3 linked regions of the Saccharomyces cerevisiae S288C genome follow. The gene in region 2 interacts genetically with the main gene of each other region. Each region holds a gene or a part of one and is shown on either strand. Other genes may lie near its edges. The genes, in order: KAR9, NDL1 and ABD1.

Region 1 (7,804 bases), on a different chromosome or scaffold from region 2:
AATCCAATTCTTTTGATGCGTTGCATACTAGAAGAATTTGTTGCGCTACTACTGTTCGTGGAGTCATCTTTCATTCTTAATTCCTGTTCATTAGCTGATTCGTAAGAAGAACTAAAAGAAGATGGAAATGGCTCATTAACGCTAAGACCTCTAGTTGCTTCACTCGTCTTCTTGGATTTCAACAGTATTTTATGTTTTAATTCCCTTGGTGATGGCAGTTTATCAGTTCTTGTGCCAACAAAGTACAGCTGTTCTGCTAAAACCTCTCTCATTATCAGGCTTGCCAATTTTTGATTATCCTTGTTACAGTTTATTTCCAGTGAAATAATCAAAGGATACGGAGACGTTATAAAAGCGTACTTCTTTATCACGCGTATAACTGTTTTTAAGGGAATAGCTGACGTTAAAAATCCATGGCATACCACTGGCCCATTTTCACCATCCCATATATCAATTTCTACGCACCTACAACCTTGTTGTAGGACTTGAATATATCCCTCCACAGATGGAGTTTCTGCAATTTGTTTCCCCAATAAATAAGTATTATGTGAAGATGCAATAAAATAATGGTTTAATGGCTTTGAATATAACTCCTCTTTAACCTCCACCAAATATGGTTGCTCCTTCAAGAACTTGGTAAAACCATCTTGCCCCATCGTCAGCTGAGTCGGTTCTCTGTACTTAATAAAATATGACCATGCAGTTTGACGATCCACTTGCTCATGCTGCTCTGTAATTAAAAATTGAAAAAAATTTTCAAATGATAAGTGGGAGTGTGGAGGTTTTGTAAATTTAGACCAAATCATATTTACCTCTTTCCTATTCTTTAAGATTTTAATGAACTTTTCAAATTCAAAATAATTTAATAGTCCGTTATGATTGATGTCTGCTAATTGGAAAAACTCTAACAATTGACCAGTTGACACATAAATATGAAATTTATCACATAGTTTCTTCACATCTGCAAAGCTCAATGTGTCCTTTTTCTCATCTTCCTCTTTTTCAGAAACAGTAATTTGCCAATGTATCCTAGCGAATTGCGAATTATCAGGCAAAAGTATGCTTTCCATTAATTCCCTCCTTAACTTCACTAAACCGCAAATGCAGCTTAAGAATGTGTTAAAGTCCAATTCATTCAAAGCAACTACGTGTAACGCTTTCAATTTGTTGGAAACCTTATAAATAATAGCAATCCAAAGTTTACTGTCCGATCTCAATCTTTTCGGATCTACTTCCTCTTGATAAGTACTCGCCGTATCACCGATTCTGATGTCTTTAACGGAGTCTAATTCCAGATACTTCGAACCATCTTTCCATATTATTTGCCCGTTGTTATTGATTAATTTAAATTCATAGAACTTCCTTCTTCTTCTTGTCATCCTAATCATCCTGATTCCTCTTTGCAATACGCGACATAGCGTGCTGAGATCACAGTCTTTTCTTAATTTCTTGTTAACAAGCTCATTTATCCCATGTGAATAAGTAAGAGGCCCCATATGGACTCTAGGCAATTCGGCTGCTCTTCTAAAAATCGACCTTATGCTTCTTCTCACAGTACTTCCATTGTTCGCGCTTTTTTGGTCAGTATTAAAAGAGGATTGAAAAGAACTGTAACTTATAAAATCTAAAGCATCATCCTTTTGTGTTATTTTCCCTTGATCTCTGCATGAGTGTCGTTGTAACTCCTTTGTAAGATTAAACCTTTGGTCATCTATAGCACTTTCAGTCATTCATATACACTGCGTGAATGACCTTACCGTTGTACGTTTATAATTCCCAGTCTTTTATTGTTTTAATGACCTGAGGCTGCTTATGTCGTGATGCTTATACTATTTTTTTTATAAAGCGTCGGGTAAAGGTGTCAAAAACTGTAAAATGAAAACGTGCGGAATCTTCATGGACTATTTAAAATTACACATAATATTACATTATTTAAACTAGTATTACAAATTCTATGAATGGAGAGGGTGAGAGGGAGGATATATAAAAATGTATAAGTATACAGTTTTAGGTTAGTATCAATAAGTTGGGGTTTTATCTAAACGCCCTTCTCTTGGTGAAAGTAACTGTGATAAGGGGGTGGGAGGCCTCAATCGGGTTCTTCTTCTTGTCGAAGGGACCCAAACTTGACTATTAGGTGTCGTGATTTTTGTTGGCGGAGTCTGGAAAACCTTTGCTATCGGTGTGTTTTCTACGGTGACTTTCACCACTTTATCCTTGTATATAGGGATCCTAGAGGGCAAGGACCGGTAATGATTCCATTTATCTTTTTCGATGTCAAGCACAGACTTATTCTTTGCCATCAAAGGAGTTTCTGTAATCTGTACTTTATTTTCATGCCGAGATGTAATGAAGGAGTCTGGTGACTTTTCATTTTCCCCACGAGAAACACGGAGGGTGGTTTCATCGGTTTCGTCATAAGGTAAGGGAGGAACACTACTTAGTATCAGTTTTCCTTTGTTTGGCGACTCCGGATCAAAAAATGGATTAATCGCATTTGATGAATTTGGGCTTGTTGCAGGTTTAATATTCATCTTCTGCAGTAACGCTTTACCAAGCTTTTTACCTTTCAAAGCCACTGTAGTTGAATTTTCCGGTGTTTTATTACTGTCACCTTCATTAATGGCGACTCTCTCCTGGAAATCCTGGGTTATAGTTCCAATAACACTATTCGGTCGCCCAAAGCCTAATGATTTCGGTTTTGGAATCTTCTTCTTGCTAGTAGCTATTTTGTTTGAAGCGGAGGATTTGATTAGAATTTTATCCGCTGTAGGCTTGATATTCAGCCATCTTTGAGCTAATTCATTTGTCTTCGATGCGACGCCAGCGTCCAAAAGTGAGAATTCCAATGCTCTGTAAATAATATTGAATGTCTTAGAAACAGTTTTTGATTTTCTCTCCAATTGCCTCTCGAGCCTTATAGTGATATCTTTGGTATACTTTGTTGTCAGTAATTTCGACTGCAACCTTTCTATCTCATCAAGAATGTATAATAGTTCATGATTTAAATTAATAAAGAGTATATTCCAACGTTTGTCGATTAGTTCGACTTTCAATTCCCTAAACTCTGAATTCATAAATCTATAATCTTTCATTATCAGCTCGTATTTTTTTTGCAAGATTGTTTGCAAAGTAGTTATGTTTGTTATATTCCGGTGCCCAAATTGCACAATTCTTTGAGGTAGGATATCAGTCAAACTTTTTTCAATTGGAGGGATATTTTTTTTTAGGTTCAAGAACTTTCTTGATAAAATATCTTCTGCCGGAGAAAATTTTGGTACCTTTGGCTCAGTTGTCTCCGTATGCGTTCCTAATAACTTGACTAGTTGTTCTAGGGTAAATGATGGAGTATGCCGTATCGGGGACGCGAACCTTTCTTCCTGAATTTCCAGACAATACGATATATTGCTATTAATGATTTTATGTAATGTATCCATATGATCCTTTGAAATTTCGTTAAATTCCAATGACGTATCCAATAATTCCTTCAAGTTAGTAAGCCATGGCTCCAACTGAGTCTTAATTTGTGTAGATTCTTCTATGACGTCAAACATCGGGCTAAATCGATTGTATTTGTCGCTATCCTGATCGTCCTTCGAGAATTCATCCTCTAGTAAATCCAACAAATGAGCAAAACCTTCCTCAATATTATGAACGTCACTAATAAATTGATATAGCATATATTTTTTCAATAATAACCAGTCCATAAACAACAAAATATCGTCTTTTCCCAGTCTTTTCTTGTTGACTAAGTCGGGAATTACCGAGGCAACGTTCTCCAAATCATCATAAAATTGAACTAACAATGTCTCTGATATACTTGTGGTACTCTCATTCAATGAGTTGCAATCGTTTATTGAATGTAATGTATTGTGAATTCTTTCTAAACGTTCACAAAAGTTCTCTTGGAAGTCATCCCCAATGGTCATAGATCTGGGTCCATCATTATCCATGGCAGTGCTACTGAAATCTTTAAGGCTGTTACAGACAAAGATTCGTGCGGCCACATTACACTTTGTTATTGTTTCAATGTTATTTGTTTATGCTACCAAAAGTATCGATTCGGGTAATGAAAATCCTTTTTATTTGGCATTTAACAGTATTATATATAGTATATATTTAAATGTGCGAGATAAGAATGGGTATATGCGATGCGGATGACTCACGGTTGTGGTGTGATCTTAATTGGATTAGCCTCCTTTGCCGCGTCTTTCAGGAGATGTTCGACAGATTTTTCAATATCATCTGAATTATTGTCTTTCGTCTCTGGAGACTGGTTATTGCTGTCGTTATCATGATTATTATCATTATCGTCATTATCGTCCTTTTTCTGGTCATCATGCTCCTTACTCTCATTCAAATCTTCCTTTTCGATGACCTTCTCTATTTGCAGTTGTTGGTCAGATGGCCCAGGAGCCGCTTTCTCATTAAGTAATTGCGATAAAGCACTTGTTGGATTCGCATACAATTCTTTGAATTTGCCCATTTCTACCACTGATCCATCATGGCCAAGGACAATAACATTCTCTGATCTTCTGATCGTACTTAGCCTGTGCGCGATGCTAACAATAGTCATCGATTTTGATTTCATTAGTTGACCAAACGTATAGTTAATGGCTCCTTCACTTTCAACATCTAAAGCTGATGTAGCTTCATCAAGAATCAAAATAGTTGGCTTTTTGATTAGAGCCCTTGCAATCGCAATACGCTGCTTTTGTCCTCCACTTAGTAAGGTGCCGTGAGGACCAATTACCGTATCGTATGTGTTCGGAAATTTTGTGATAAAGTTATGGCAAAAGCACTGCTTTGCTACTGACCTGATTTCTTCCTTTGTTGGGGTATATGTCAACCCATAAGTGATATTATCCCTAATAGTACCTGACATCAGTACCGGCTCTTGCTGAACGATACCAATATGCCTTCTTAGGGATTTACAATTCAATTTAGAGATATCTTGGTTATCTATCGTAATAGTCCCAGTAGTGGGATTATAATATCTTAGCAGTAAGAGTGCAATTGTAGATTTACCACGACCTGAAGGGCCCACAATACAAACACTCGATCCTGGCGCAATTTTAAAATTTAAATTCTTGAATATTTGAACAGAAGGCCTTGTAGGGTAGCTAAATGAAACATCTTTAAATTCGATAACACCACGATCTGGTTTATACTTGTGTCCCACAGTCGGTGAAATGGAAGGTTTCCTATCTGTTAATTCAAACAACCTGGAAGCGGCCCCAGCACCCTGCATAATTTCCGAATAGAAGGTAGAAAGGCCGAATACCGCATTCCCCGTATATTCTGTGTACAGCATAAATGCAGTCAGATCACCAATGGAGAGCTGTGATTGTAAAACAAGATAGGAGCCATACGCAAGGACGGTTAAAAAACTTAGGTCACCTAAGAGACTAGTTGTAGTAAAAAACTTTGCGTTTGTAAATGCCGCAGTTTTTCCCACCTGAAAAATATCTCTAATTGCAACGTTATACCTAGACAATTCATTACCTTCAGCAACAAACGACTGAACCGTCTTGATACCAGAGAGTTGTTCTTCAGCGACTCTAGTCAATTGACCAGTAGCTTCTTGAAGGTCTTTAGAGGTGTTTCTAATTTGCTTCCCGAACACTGAGGCACTAAAAAGAACAGGTGGAGTGAAGAATAGTAACAATATTGATAGTTGAGGTGACAAAGAACACATCATCCCCACGCCAACAACCCCACAAATTAGGGCTTTGACCCCATCCGAGACCTTCTGGGTCATTGATCTTGAAACAACATAAGCATCAGATCCTAAACGAGAAATTAAATCCCCAACTTTATGGTTGTCGAAGAATTCTGCGTCTTGATGAAGCGTTTTTTTAATGACATTTGCCCTTAGGCGTGCAACAACACGCTCACTTAGTATCCTCAATAATATAAATCTACCAAAATTAGCAGCACAACCAATCAGTAAAGCAACAGTAAAAAAGGAAAGAAACTCATATAAAGGCAAAGAAAAAATCGGTATCTTCAAATCAAAAAAATCTGATCCAGATGACGTCTTAAGTGTGTCAAGGACAATACCTATGACTTTAGGAATAGACATGCCTATGGAACATGATATGGTTAAAAGAAGTATGGCTGTAAGAAGCAGTTTCCAATCCCGTTTCGCCAACATAAATAACCTTATTATATCTTTATAGTCATCAGTTTTAGATTGCTCCTTTGCATGTGCCGACCTTGCTGATCCTTTAGATATGGGAGAGGCTGAAGGCAGAGAAGTTTCTGGAACTGTTTTGGATGAATTACATCTAAAACTTTGTAAAATTAGTGATTTTCCAACTGCAGGTGACCTTAAACACAACCGACTGAGAGGAATGAGCTGCGATGAAGAAGGGGTGACCAAAGACCGAAACCTTATAGATGGCAGTTTAGCCAGTCGGGGACGGGACAGCATGTTTCTGCATATGCCCAGCCGCAAAAGTGGTAAACGACCATTCAACATTGCGATTGGCGATGATGGGACATATATTTCTTTTTCTTTTAATGCAATGATACAAACTTTATACCACTCTTCGAAGCGGCCAGTATTCAATATCATTGTAGTCATTATTAGTTTCCCGTATAAAAGTACGTAAGTTTTCATACACAGTTGCTAGAATATTTAAAATGTATATCAGCGAGTAAAAAAAGAGCTGCAGTTCCCAGGAAGCGTTAAACTATTTTGTTATTGGAGTGGGTTCAGAAGCTGCAGTGCCATTTTTATATTGGGTATAAAAAGCATCTGTTTGCGATCTGTTAAGAACACTAGCGGTTTGTAATTCAGTTTTCAATGAAGAACGGATAGCCTGAGCGGCCACATTCAAATATGCAGCATATGATATACCAGCTTTCCTCCAGGCAGACATTTTATGAATCGGTTGTGGGCTGAAACTGTTGATGTTTCTTAGAAATACATATCTTGCTAAGTACTCAATAGAAAGGCCTACTTGTATCTCTTCATTTAACTAGACGAAAAAGGGGAGGATCAAATTTCATTGGTTCGTATAAAAGTATTAAAAAATAAGCGCGTTGCCAGACTTAGTGTGAGATAGTAAGCTAGTAAATCATCTGCTATTACCTAGTTTAGCGTATTTCCTAATAAGGATTACCAATTCCTCAAGTTCATGGCTTGGTAAGATACAGCTATAGCTTTCTTAGTTTTTTTCTTCGAGAGAACTAGTACAATGCTTCTATAGAAGTTAAGAAGTTTACCTTTTCGAAGAACAAATATATTGTTGCTTTGCTTACTCCGAGGTTATCGACTATTTTTGGCAATCCGTTTGAACCTGGATAAATACGTAAATCAGACTTTCTTTAGCCGGATCAACTCTTTTTTTTTTGTAAGCACTCTGACTTGTCGCTGCTGTGTCTGCCAATAATTCAATAATTCATAGTATTTCATACCATATGCTTTATTTAGTGTCCCACTGATGTGAGTTGAAGAATTGTATTCAGATAGGCATATCTTAAGGTCCAACTATTGCCACCGTCGTAGTGCGGAAAGGTTGATTATCGAGCGAATTAGAGGAATAAATGCTGCTATGCGCACGATGAGCAAATCGGAAGTAAACCACGCCGCTGATCCACCTGAACAAAAGAATCTCGCGGAGTTACGATTTAATGTAGGTTTGCTCAGATTACGTTACTGATACTTTACTTTGGACAAAAGTTCTCATACAAACTGTGGAAACAACACCGCTTAAACCAACGATTATGAAATGACATGGTCTAAAGTAATATAATCTATATTAGAATGTGCAGATGGCTATGGTATCCATGCGAT
Region 2 (6,523 bases):
TCATAAATATTTGAGTCACCAAAGTTGGCTAGCAATCTGCTTTTCCTTTACAGATGTGCTTGGTCAGGAACAATTTATTTAATTACATTCGTACTTCTTTTATAGAGGAAATAGTAGCTAACATTTCACTATTGCGGTCATGCCTGTTGTTCTTCAGCTACCGTTTATGCAAAGGTGTTTAATTAGGTGTGAGACTTAAGTGGGCCTTTTAGTACCACTGTGGGTTCTGGACCTTTATATAATATTTCATTTTTTCAAAGGTTTTTTCATATGCCGTTAAAAGAGGTCAAAACATAGACCCGAGGAACATATCTTGTAAATCGCTGCGTTATGTATGCATATTGTACTCCTACCTTCGTAACTGGAAAGAATCAGTCTGAAAGTTTATTGAGCCTGAAACGGAGCAAGATTATAGTTGAATGTTTCTTATTCGGTGTTGATAGTAGATGATGACCAAAGCTTTTTTTAACAAACTACCGTTTGAGGTATTCCGTCGGTACGTTAGGACAGGTAAAAGCATCCCTCAAAGAAGCCCCAGGACAAGAAAATCTCTTCTGGTGGGTGGGACTATTGCATCAGCAGTAGTTTTGTACAACTTTAATGACACTTTTCATGATTCTGTAAAGCACACGGCACTGACGACTAAAAGAATCGCTGTCGTCACACAAGCTACCACTCGTTGCTTCTACCATTACAAGAGGGCTCTAAATAAAAGCTATGAGAACAAAAAAGAACGAGAAGTTGCCTTAAATAAATGTCATAAGATGTGTGCCTTAATCACGTTGCATGCGCTACGATCGAATGGTGGGATATATATCAAATTAGGCCAGCACATTGGGGCCATGACCTACCTGTTGCCTAAAGAATGGACGGATACAATGATACCGTTGCAAGACCACTGTCCCGAATCCACCTACGAAGAAATTGATGAGTTATTTAAAGAAGATCTAGGCACCAGCATTGAGGATATGTTTTTAGAATTCAACAAAACCCCGATAGGTGTAGCTTCCTTGGCACAGGTTCATGTGGCAAAACTAAAAAATAGTGACGGTAAAGGTTCTAGTGTAGCTGTCAAATGTCAGCATCCATCGTTGAAGGAGTTTATACCATTAGATGTTATGCTGACAAGAACAGTGTTTGAACTGCTGGATGTCTTCTTCCCTGATTATCCGTTAACGTGGCTTGGTGATGAGCTTCAGTCTTCAATCTACGTGGAACTGAATTTTACCAAAGAAGCTGAAAATGCAGAAAAAACCCGTCATTATTTTAGTAAGTTCAAGAAGCAAACAGCATTGAAAATACCCAAGGTCATTGAAAGCCACAAAAGAATTTTGATTATGGAATATGTTGGAGGCAAAAGGTTGGATGATTTGGAGTACATTGACAGTCACGGTATCTCGCGCAGTGAAGTTTCGAGTTGTCTCTCTCATATTTTCAATAACATGATTTTTACTCCCAATGTAGGTATTCATTGTGATCCTCATGGAGGAAATCTGGCCATACGATCTGTTAAGCCCGCTAAAGATAATGGATACCATAACTTTGAAATTGTTTTATTTGACCACGGACTCTATAGATATCCTAGCACGAGAACAAGAAGACTTTATGCCAAATTTTGGTTGTCGCTCCTATTCGACAAGGACCAGACAAAAATGAAGAAGTATGCCAAAGGATTCGCAAACATCACCGACGAACAGTTTCCCCTTTTAGCGGCTGCAATTACGGGCCGTAGCATTGATGCTGCTTTGAATTACGACATTTCAACGAGTCGAACACAAGAAGAAATGGACGTCATGGCAAATGGGATCTTGGAAGGAACGTTACTGAGCGACTTGATGAGCATTTTGTCTAGAATCCCTCGTGTAGTGCTTTTGATATTGAAGACTAACGACCTAACCAGACATCTTGATGAATGTCTACAGAATCCACTCGGGCCAGAGAGGACTTTCCTGATCATGACGCAATACTGCGCCAAGACGGTCTACGACGAAAAAGTGGAAAGAATTAATTCGGAGTATGCGAGGTGGTCTATTAAATGGATGTGGGAGAACTTGACAAACTGGATAGTCTATGAGAGGCGTATTAATCAATTGTATTTTTATGATTTTGTGTTGTGGTGGAAAAAATTTATTCCGAAGACTTGGTTGTCATCTTAAATCGTTAGCGTTCTTTCTACTTGTAAATATATACGTAAAATTATATATAACAATTTTATATGTGTCATTAAACGGAAGACGTTGTTGCTATCACAGTGGATTGTGTTATTTGGGTATTTGGAATATTACAGTGACTTCTTGCAGCGTTGTTAGTTTTTGCCATGTTCTGCAAGTACAAGGTTGAAGATGTGGTCGAGACTTTGATAGTATCCTTAAACAACTTCATTTTTTTATTTTGACTGGGTAACGACCTGGTGTTCCTTCTAGTCTCACCGCTAGTGGCTTCTTCTTTGCTGACTCTTAACTTTTGCAGCGCCTCTTTGGTGTCGAGTAACTCGTGTTCCAGTAGAACGTTGCGTTCCAGTCGTCGGTCACTCTCCAATTGTAATGTCTCTATCTTATTCCTCAGTTGGATATTTTCATTTTCCAACTCATCTACCTGTATCTCTAAATCTGTTATCTGTTTCTTATTGCACTTATTTTGTTGTTGGCTCTCAAGAAGATCGCTTTTTAACTTTGATATTACTTGTTCCAAATCATTTTCATATTCTTTCGTGGCGCCTTCAAGCTCGCTCAACTGGGTCTCCAGTGAGGAGATTATCTGTATAGCTGTTTCCAAATCCAAATTCGGCACCATAGGAAAGTCGCAATTGTTGCACGTATATGTCCCTTGGATATTCCAATTAAATTTGCGAGGATTGTTCTTTCGGCCGTTCGTGGTTTGTTGTAGCCCTTATTATCCCTCTTTTTCATCCTTAATTGCAAATTTATGTATGAAAACTTTCATTTCTAATGTTATTAATTTTCCCGATTCTGCAAACTAATTGATAAAATAATTGATACTTGCCGTCACAGATGATATAGAGAACGTTCAGTTTTTTTATTGTTCTATTGTAAAAAAAAAAAAAAAAGGAAGAAAAAAGCAAGATCCGATAGGAGAAGACCTCTTTAGCGGCTTTACTGCGCTACAAATAAGGTTACGAATATGCGGAATAGTTCATGATACGTTGTTGAGTTATAGTATGTAGCCAATATTTCCTGTTTTTCCGCTGTTACCCTTTTCGAAGGATCGATGAACGCTTCTGTCACTTAGTAAGCAAATGTACGAAACCCAGAGCATTGTATGTACACCAGCAGTCGTTTTTTGTAGCTCTTTTCCATGGATGGACGATGATGGCAAGACGCGATCGTGGCGGAGCCTCACTAAGAAAAACAATTGTGGAGAATCTATACACACAGAAATCGTACTTCAAGAAATATTGATTAGCGAGCCTTTAAGCACAGAACAATCTCTATAGCCAACATCTTGTGGAAGCTACAACTGTTTTTCTTGTTCCCGCTTGAGTAGGGCCTTACAAGGCAAGACCGTATAAAATAAAGATAACTCCTCCGCCGTATCCTGAATTTCGTGTGCCCTTTCTCTCTCTCTCTCTTCCTCTTTCTTCCTTTCCCTTTCCCTCTTCTTCTTATCTCAACAACCGCCCAGCGCATTAGCAAACCACAGTACGAGCTGTACGGCTGAGCCACTGCACCTGTCTGGCTTGCCCCTTTTTGTTGAGTAACCGGGTAATAATTCGGCTGTCTAAACGATACAATCCTCGTTCCACCCACACCCATTCACCCGTCGGGCGAAATCCACCCTCGCGGCCTCGTTTAGAATACCAGGCAACGGCACCAGCAACGGCCCCGGTAACTCGATCGCGTTCATATATATCGGATATACTCTTGAGGCACAATTTTTTTCGGTTTTCGGTTTTTTCTATTATTCTTCGAGATGCAAAGCACACATTTGAGACTCACAACTCAAGATACCGCAAGCACACAGACGCTATTGTTCTCCCAAAGAATAGGTTCCTGCAGTGCTCTTTTAAGGTTTGAAGATATTGCACAAAATTGTATCTGATTTCATCTCATCGAACCTCATTCCATCAACTTCCTTTTATCAAAGCATCTTGTTTTGTTTTCGCAGAAAATTTTTCTTCCCTTTCAATTTGGCCTTTTAGTTTTTCTCCAGTCGCAGGCAAGAAGGTAAGGAAATAGAAGAAAAAGAAAAAAAAAAAAAGGGAACAATAGGTTAGATGTCGAATACCCCTTATAATTCATCTGTGCCTTCCATTGCATCCATGACCCAGTCTTCGGTCTCAAGAAGTCCTAACATGCATACAGCAACTACGCCCGGTGCCAACACCAGCTCTAACTCTCCACCCTTGCACATGTCTTCAGATTCGTCCAAGATCAAGAGGAAGCGTAACAGAATTCCGCTCAGTTGCACCATTTGTCGGAAAAGGAAAGTCAAATGTGACAAACTCAGACCACACTGCCAGCAGTGCACTAAAACTGGGGTAGCCCATCTCTGCCACTACATGGAACAGACCTGGGCAGAAGAGGCAGAGAAAGAATTGCTGAAGGACAACGAATTAAAGAAGCTTAGGGAGCGCGTAAAATCTTTAGAAAAGACTCTTTCTAAGGTGCACTCTTCTCCTTCGTCTAACTCCTTGAAAAGTTACAACACTCCCGAGAGCAGCAACCTGTTTATGGGTAGCGATGAACACACCACCCTTGTTAATGCAAATACAGGCTCTGCTTCCTCTGCCTCGCATATGCATCAGCAACAACAGCAACAGCAGCAACAGGAACAACAACAAGACTTTTCCAGAAGTGCGAACGCCAACGCGAATTCCTCGTCCCTTTCTATCTCAAATAAATATGACAACGATGAGCTGGACTTAACTAAGGACTTTGATCTTTTGCATATCAAAAGTAACGGAACCATCCACTTAGGTGCCACCCACTGGTTGTCTATCATGAAAGGTGACCCGTACCTAAAACTTTTGTGGGGTCATATCTTCGCTATGAGGGAAAAGTTAAATGAATGGTACTACCAAAAAAATTCGTACTCTAAGCTGAAGTCAAGCAAATGTCCCATCAATCACGCGCAAGCGCCGCCTTCTGCCGCTGCCGCCGCTACCAGAAAATGTCCTGTTGATCACTCCGCGTTTTCGTCTGGCATGGTGGCCCCAAAGGAGGAGACTCCTCTTCCTAGGAAATGTCCAGTTGACCACACCATGTTCTCTTCGGGAATGATTCCTCCCAGAGAGGACACTTCGTCCCAGAAGAGGTGTCCCGTTGACCACACCATGTATTCCGCAGGAATGATGCCGCCCAAGGACGAGACACCTTCCCCATTTTCCACTAAAGCTATGATAGACCATAACAAGCATACAATGAATCCGCCTCAGTCAAAATGTCCTGTGGACCATAGAAACTATATGAAGGATTATCCCTCTGACATGGCAAATTCTTCTTCGAACCCGGCAAGTCGTTGCCCCATTGACCATTCAAGCATGAAAAATACAGCGGCCTTACCAGCTTCAACGCACAATACCATCCCACACCACCAACCACAGTCCGGATCTCATGCTCGTTCGCATCCCGCACAAAGCAGGAAACATGATTCCTACATGACAGAATCTGAAGTCCTCGCAACACTTTGTGAGATGTTGCCACCAAAGCGCGTCATCGCATTATTCATCGAGAAATTCTTCAAACATTTATACCCTGCCATTCCAATCTTAGATGAACAGAATTTCAAAAATCACGTGAATCAAATGCTTTCGTTGTCTTCGATGAATCCCACAGTTAACAACTTTGGTATGAGCATGCCATCTTCATCTACACTAGAGAACCAACCCATAACACAAATCAATCTTCCAAAACTTTCCGATTCTTGTAACTTAGGTATTCTGATAATAATCTTGAGATTGACATGGCTATCCATACCTTCTAATTCCTGCGAAGTCGACCTGGGAGAAGAAAGTGGCTCATTTTTAGTGCCCAACGAATCTAGCAATATGTCTGCATCTGCATTGACCTCGATGGCTAAAGAAGAATCACTTCTGCTAAAGCATGAGACACCGGTCGAGGCACTGGAGCTATGTCAAAAATACTTGATTAAATTCGATGAACTTTCTAGTATTTCCAATAACAACGTTAATTTAACCACGGTGCAGTTTGCCATTTTTTACAACTTCTATATGAAAAGTGCCTCTAATGATTTGACTACCTTGACAAATACCAACAACACTGGCATGGCCAATCCTGGTCACGATTCCGAGTCTCACCAGATCCTATTGTCCAATATTACTCAAATGGCCTTTAGTTGTGGGTTACACAGAGACCCTGATAATTTTCCTCAATTAAACGCTACCATTCCAGCAACCAGCCAGGACGTGTCTAACAACGGGAGCAAAAAGGCAAACCCTAGCACCAATCCAACTTTGAATAACAACATGTCTGCTGCCACTACCAACAGCAGTAGCAGATCTGGCAGTGCTGATTCAAGAAGTGGTTCTAACCCTGTGAACAAG
Region 3 (7,633 bases), on a different chromosome or scaffold from region 2:
GCAATTGGCGCATTACTTTCTGTTGTTGCGATGTTAATAGTTGATGGCATCTCAGCGTCTGTCTTGTTTTTGGCTATGATTTTGCTATTTTTATTCATTCATTATTTTTCACCACCGAAGTCTTGGGGTGATGTGTCTCAAAGTTTAATATATCATCAAGTGAGAAAGTATTTGCTTCGCCTACGTCAAGACAATATTAAATACTGGAGGCCTCAAATATTGCTGTTTGTAGATAATCCAAGGACGAGCTGGAACTTAATAAGGTTTTGCAATCATTTGAAAAAAGGTGGTTTGTATATTTTAGGCCATGTTGCAGTAACTGCGGATTTTCCGAAGCAACTAAATGAATTAAAAACTCAGCAGAAAGCTTGGATGAAGATCAGAGACATGGCAGCAATAAAGGCTTTTGTCCAAGTTGGGACTGGTCCCTCCCTTATATGGGGAATTAGGAATGTTTTTATTGGTTCCGGGCTTGGAGGTATGAAACCAAACATTACTGTTGTCGGTTTTTTTGACCTCGAAAGTTATAGAAAGCACATCCCACAAAGTCGCAGCCAAAATAACCTTCAGAAACAGGTGGAAATAAAAGCTACAGTGCCACGTAGTACATGCTCTGATGTCAAAATCAATGTTCCATTGCCTACGGATGAGTGTAAAAATGAAACCAAAGTTAATGTACAACAATGGGTTCAAATTGTAGAAGATCTATCACTGATGCAATCCAATATTGCCATAGCGCATGGATTCAAAAATTTAGAGATACCGAACAAAAGGGACAGCTGCTTTCCAAAAAAAACTATAGATCTTTATCCCATCCAAATGTGCGGAAAAGTTGAGGCAAAGGGTGACCAGCCTGCGGCTATCACTACTAACTTTGATACGTATACACTGATTCTACAATTAGCTGCCATTTTGGTTACTGTTCCTGAATGGAAGCGCACACATTCGCTTCGAGTTATTTTATTTGTGGAACAAGAATATCATAGAACGAACGAAACTCAACGAATGAAAAAGCTATTACAGGTTCTAAGAATTGACGCAGAGGTTTTGGTAGTATCTTTAGATCAATTCAGAGTATACAACACAATTGTCAAGGGAGACCCAATCGTGTTTGATTATGTCAACTCGAAATTGGCCGATAATGAATGGTGGAAAGATTTGGTTGAAGCTCGTGATACATTAAAACCGAAGCGGAGGTTTTCCACTATTGAACCTCAAACGATAGCAAAGCAATTTACACAATCAAGAAAATATACGTCTGGGGTTCAGAAATTGGGTGTCTCATTTACAATGAATACGAGAATGCCAACTAACCGCATTGATACCCCATGCGAGAGTGAGGACTCCGATTTGGATACAGATCTTACGTCAATTCGTGATGCCTTCTCGGCATCGACTAATATTTCAGTAGGTAAGGACTTAACGACCAAATCGAAGACCGGTTCCGACAGAACAAATTTACTCGTAAAGAATTTACAAAGCGATGTGTCAACACAGTCGTTAAGACCCGTTTTCTCGAGTAATACTTTGCCGAGGACGAGAGTCGTGGAAGATGGCACGGGTGAACAGCCGACACTGATCCCAATTGCCGAACCTGACCTTTCGAATGGGAACGGTACTGGGAGCGGTATTGGCAACGGCAACAAATTAAAGAAACCGGTTCTTCCCGAATTATCACCTTGTTGTTCAAAAGATAGTTTAGTCACAGCGATGCAAAATTTAGGTTTCAATGATCTTCCCAGCACTGCTCAACATTTGGTTCTGAATGATGTGATGACACAAATGTCAAAGAGTTCGGATTTAATTTTTTCAACCTTGCCAGTTCCAGCTCTTGGAACACATGAAGATCACGATGCAAGTTTACAATATGTCGAGGACTTGGATATTTGGTTGGAGGGCTTACCTCCATGCATGTTAATCAATTCGCAAACCATGACAGTAACTACTGCATTATAGAATAACACATATATCGTTATGCATTTCCCCAGAACTTATTTACTACATATAGAAGTCTTGTAATACGGCCGAAATACAGATGCTTTATAGTAGGGTTATTGTTTCTATTCATTTTTATTTCAGTTGGGCTTTACGCTTTCCGGTTCGATATACTGTTTTACCTTACGGAATGCAAACATGGTATAGAAATATGATGCCGCTTCCTTTTCATCCCCTTCAACACCATATCTACCATCAGATCTTTGTAAACCTTCCCTCATTTTAGGCGAAAACCTCTCAATCCATTTGGGAATTTCTTGGACAAAAAATTTATTAAAAGGCATTTGCGATACTAGTTCCAAACCGTATTCATCAGCCAAACTTCTTAAGGTTTCGAATGGCACAACATATTCAGGAACATTATCTATAGCATCTTCTAGCCAATAAGTATACATTTGACCATAAGGCGATGTGAACTCATAATCATTCTTTTGGTATGAATTATTCTCAAATGTCACTTTATAAATGGAGTTTCCCCAAGATGGCTTTTCCACTTCTTTGGGAAATTTATTCAGTTTATAACGAATGAATTCTGAATCTGGTATCGTGCCAAAAAAGTGACCACCAATTTTGAGTGATTTGGCGACATTCAGTAAAGCTCTCCTTGCTTTTTCTTCGGTCTCAAAAGCATAATGCAAGCAAAATTGCGTCGAAACGATATCACACGGAAATCTACAGTCTGGGAAGGGCTCTACTGCAACACCTAATGATTCGCCAAAGCAATCCCCAGTAATTAGCACAACTTGGTAGTCCAAATTTCTCATGGACCGGTATCTCTTATGAGCTTCTTGGATAGAGGCATTGGAAATGTCAATACCAATAAACTGTGAAATACCTGCAGCACCATATTTTCTTAAATCACCACCTTTGCCACATCCGAGTTCTAAAACGACATCTCCAGGTTTTGTATATTTGTCAATTAACATATACTTAATCGCATTGTTAAAATTACGAAGCTTAATAATAGGCGATAGATTCCTCTTAGCGCGATTGGCGATTATTGTACGTTCATTATAGTGCTCTCGGACAATCTGGTCAACATTTATGGATCTATTTGCAGTCATCTCTATTTCATGTCTCTTTAGTTGCTCTTCTCTCAATTTTTGAGCACGCTGTTTGCGTAATCTTTCCTCTTGATCATACCTTTCATGTCTTCTCTTTTGGATTTTAAACCCGGATTCTGCCTCAATGGGTAGATCAGACACCTTAGAAGTAAGGATAGAGCTGCTTTGCAAAACTGGTAATGATCCATTACCATCACCAGGCGCATTGGCAGTAACTTTGGAGTCTTTTTTTGAGACTGTGGACGATTCATCACCAGTAATTGAGCCGTACTGACGGTCATAGTCTTCTTGTGACATCCATATTGGCTTCTCTGGTTTGGTTGACATTCTACTTTTCTAAGACGGATAATGGACGACTCCACGTTGTAGTAGTTGTCACATTAATCGGAAAAGTGTCTCACATGTAAAGGATTAAAATAAGAAATCTTCTAATTTATGTTGAAATATCTTGATTTACCATTACCCGGATTAGATGAAACTAATTAAAGTCATTTAGAGCAATGGACCAAACTAAAGGTATTAGAGTTCTTTCTAATATAATACAGCGCCAAATAATTCGAGAAGGGAAATCATAACGCTGTTGCCTTGGGTTTATTTGAGGTATGGAAACTATTGATTCGAAGCAAAATATTAATAGGGAGTCTTTATTGGAGGAAAGGAGGAAAAAACTAGCAAAATGGAAACAAAAAAAAGCACAATTTGATGCTCAGAAAGAGCATCAAACTTCACGCAATGACATTGTTACTAACAGTTTAGAAGGTAAGCAGACTACTGAAAAGTTTACGGAAAGACAGGAACGTGTAAAAGAAGAGCTTCGGAAGAGAAAAAATGAATTTAGGAAATCTGACGAACCTGTATCGGTTAAGCCTTCGAAGAAAAAGTCGAAGAGAAGTAAGGTAAAGAAGAAAATATCCTTCGACTTCAGTGATGACGATGATTCTGAAATAGGAGTTTCTTTTAGATCGAAGGAGCACATTCAAAAAGCTCCAGAGCATGATAATGAAAAAGATCCACTGGATGAGTTTATGACGTCATTGAAGGAGGAGAAAATGAGTAATAGTAAAGGCATGTACGACAGAGGCGACATTCTTGATGTAGAGGATCAATTGTTTGAACTTGGAGGAACCGACGATGAGGATGTTGAAGATAATACGGATAATTCTAATATAGCGAAAATTGCTAAACTCAAAGCAAAAAAACGTGTAAAGCAAATTTATTACTCTCCAGAAGAGCTTGAGCCGTTCCAAAAAAATTTTTATATAGAATCTGAAACAGTTTCCTCGATGTCAGAGATGGAAGTTGAGGAGCTTAGACTTAGTCTGGATAATATCAAAATAAAGGGAACAGGTTGCCCCAAACCAGTCACAAAGTGGTCTCAACTGGGACTATCAACGGACACCATGGTTTTAATTACAGAAAAGTTGCACTTTGGCTCCTTAACGCCTATTCAATCCCAGGCTCTTCCCGCTATTATGTCAGGTCGTGATGTTATAGGAATATCAAAAACTGGCTCCGGCAAGACCATCTCCTATCTTTTACCATTGCTAAGACAAGTAAAAGCTCAACGGCCATTATCAAAACATGAAACAGGGCCCATGGGTTTAATTCTGGCTCCAACTAGAGAGCTAGCTTTACAAATACATGAAGAAGTTACTAAATTCACAGAAGCAGATACATCCATTAGATCAGTATGCTGTACAGGAGGTTCTGAAATGAAAAAGCAGATTACTGATCTTAAAAGAGGCACTGAGATTGTTGTTGCCACACCGGGACGATTTATTGATATATTAACACTAAATGATGGGAAATTACTTAGTACTAAAAGAATAACGTTCGTAGTAATGGATGAGGCAGACAGGCTGTTCGATTTAGGTTTTGAACCTCAAATAACGCAAATCATGAAAACTGTTCGACCGGATAAACAGTGTGTTCTATTTAGTGCAACTTTTCCGAACAAACTACGCAGTTTTGCCGTAAGAGTTTTGCATTCCCCAATATCTATTACGATTAATTCAAAGGGAATGGTTAATGAAAACGTAAAACAAAAGTTTAGAATATGCCATTCAGAAGATGAAAAATTTGACAATCTGGTGCAGCTTATCCATGAGCGCAGTGAATTTTTTGACGAGGTTCAAAGTGAAAATGACGGACAGTCAAGCGATGTTGAAGAAGTTGATGCTAAAGCCATTATATTTGTATCAAGTCAGAATATTTGCGACTTCATTTCAAAAAAGCTGTTAAATGCTGGAATTGTGACCTGTGCTATTCATGCAGGTAAGCCATATCAAGAAAGGCTTATGAACTTAGAAAAGTTCAAACGAGAAAAGAACAGTATTCTTCTCTGTACAGAGGTTCTCTCAAGAGGTTTAAATGTTCCCGAAGTGTCGTTGGTTATTATCTATAACGCCGTCAAAACTTTCGCGCAATATGTTCATACTACTGGAAGAACTGCCAGAGGTAGTCGCTCCGGTACTGCTATTACTCTTCTATTGCATGATGAACTGTCAGGTGCTTATATCTTGAGCAAGGCAATGCGCGATGAAGAAATAAAAGCTTTAGACCCTCTGCAAGCAAAAGAACTTCAGGAAATGAGTGCCAAGTTTGAATCCGGTATGAAAAAGGGTAAGTTTAGGTTGTCGAAAGGGTTCGGCGGCAAAGGACTGGAAAATATCAAAAGTAAAAGAGAGGAAGCTCAAAATAAAGATTTGGAGCTCAAAAAGAATGATAAGAGGAGCGATGACTTGGAAAAGAAAATCAGCAATCCACGCGAAGGGCATGACAGTGTGTCTGAGTCTTCTGCGCTTATTCCGAGACTCAATTATGAACTATTCAAAGAGTCTACAGACGGGTCGATCATCTTTTACGCCAAGGTTTATATTAATGATTTACCCCAGATTGTAAGATGGGAGGCTACAAAGAATACAACCTTATTATTTATCAAGCATGAAACCGGATGTAGTATTACTAACAAGGGTAAATTTTACCCTGAAGGGAAGGAACCAAAGAATGAAAACGATGAGCCTAAACTATACTTATTGATCGAAGGCCAAGATGAGAAAGACATACAATTAAGTATAGAATTGCTGGAGCAAAAAGTTAAAGAGGGGGTCGTAAAGGCTGCAAGCTTGTCTTTGAAGAGTACTAAATACTAGTTTTTAGAATTTAACTCACTCGTGGTGCTATATACTTTCGTAGTTAGTTCTGAAATTTTTAGGGTGGTAATTTAAAGCATATTCAATCATAATAAAAAAAAAAAAAGAGAATTATTAGGAAAAATAAAAACAAAATAATATATAATATATGATGTAGAAAAAAATCTTGAAATTTTTATCGATTCGAATAAAATGGAATTTAAAAAAGTGGGAAAGAAACAATGAGAATTCATAGGATATAATGAAAGGTAAATGCTTTAAAAAAAAATTAAGAGGGGAAAATAAAAGTAGAAAAGCAAATAAAAACAAAACATGGAATAAAAGTAACTTCAAAAAAATTTATCAAGAAAATGGTAGGCTTGAAGAATATAATAATAGTTTTTTAGTTGATTTGAGATGTGATATGACAAATAAAAAATAATGAAATAACGATAAAAATAAGGAAGGGAAAAACTGACAATCGAATAATAATATTAATAATGGTAAGTTTATCACATCAATTCATAGGGAATATAAATTTGAAATTGTTACTCTTCTTTCTTTTTTTGTTCTGTAGAGAAAGAAGGTGAAAAGTGAAGGATATTAACTTTAAACACACGTTGGCTTCAAATTATGTAATTCAGGAATAGGAATATCGTTAACGATTAAAGTTTGGAATTGGTTCAAAACTTCTTGCAAAACGGAATATTTGACAGCGGTCCCTGTTGTTAATCTGGCTAGTTGTCTGGAATCACGGCAATATGGAGAGTAACGTTTAACAATTTTCAAATACAAAACCATTCTGCCGTCAACTGGTATGGAAGAAGAAGCAGCCTCCGCAGCAAATTCATCAAATGCACCAGAAGCAGTTGCTGCTTGCAATGCTGGATGAGAGTAGAAGTCCATTGGATTTTGAGGATTGTTGAACAAATGCTCTGGTGCTGGAGTATCCATTGGAGTTAAGGATGGCGAAGGAGTTGCGGTTCTGCTTATTTGAGTGCTGTTCATGTTACTTTTCTTGGAATCTCTATCATTTTGGGTCCATGTTACAGTAGCATCTCTTAAGGCCGCCCAATCTGCGTTGGCAATAAATCTTTGACCAATTTCATCTGATTTGCGGATTAAATCCATCCATCTTTGGAGAATTTCTGCATTCGAAGCATCATCGACAGATCCCATAGACTTTAATAAGATTCTATAAGCGACTATTGTTTTTGGAATGTGGTACGCCTCGTAACTCTTATCGATGTATTCTAAAATACTGCGGTCATGCCAGACAGTGCATTTAGCCAAGATAATGTTAAAGAAAGGTTCATCTATATGCTTGATGTTGTTGTAAGTTTGAATAATATTTTGTAAAGTTTGAAAACCTTGCATCTTGTCCACAGCATAATTTTCAAAAAAAATGTCGAAAAAAGTGTCATTCAAAGATGAAGAAATACC

What was found.
Region 1: of NDL1 (region 2) and KAR9, changing one enhances a phenotype caused by changing the other (phenotypic enhancement), as found in Saccharomyces cerevisiae (one study listed by BioGRID).
Region 3: mutations in NDL1 (region 2) and ABD1 together harm fitness more than expected from each alone (negative genetic interaction), as found in Saccharomyces cerevisiae (2 studies listed by BioGRID).

Annotation. Positions count from the first base shown.
Region 1 is NC_001148.4:29,162-36,965, reverse strand, and holds KAR9 (Kar9p), read right to left. Parts: upstream 3,954-7,804; coding exon 2,019-3,953; downstream 1-2,018. Other genes in the region: PLC1 (phosphatidylinositol phospholipase C), read right to left, coding at 1-1,730; ATP-binding cassette permease MDL2, read right to left, coding at 4,163-6,484; ATP15 (F1F0 ATP synthase subunit epsilon), read right to left, coding at 6,699-6,887. UniProt on the Saccharomyces cerevisiae protein: Involved in karyogamy. Component of a cortical adaptor complex that orients cytoplasmic microtubules. It may be involved in anchoring cytoplasmic microtubules to the cell cortex.
Region 2 is NC_001144.5:642,181-648,703, forward strand, and holds NDL1 (Ndl1p), read right to left. Parts: upstream 2,794-6,523; coding exon 2,224-2,793; downstream 1-2,223. Other genes in the region: CQD2 (Cqd2p), read left to right, coding at 447-2,156; YLR255C (uncharacterized protein), read right to left, coding at 3,420-3,773; HAP1 (Hap1p), read left to right, coding at 4,235-6,523. UniProt on the Saccharomyces cerevisiae protein: Required for nuclear migration to the bud neck during cell division.
Region 3 is NC_001134.8:688,308-695,940, forward strand, and holds ABD1 (mRNA (guanine-N7)-methyltransferase), read right to left. Parts: upstream 3,387-7,633; coding exon 2,076-3,386; downstream 1-2,075. Other genes in the region: VHC1 (Vhc1p), read left to right, coding at 1-1,956; DEAD-box RNA helicase PRP5, read left to right, coding at 3,662-6,211; YBR238C (uncharacterized protein), read right to left, coding at 6,800-7,633. UniProt on the Saccharomyces cerevisiae protein: Responsible for methylating the 5'-cap structure of mRNAs.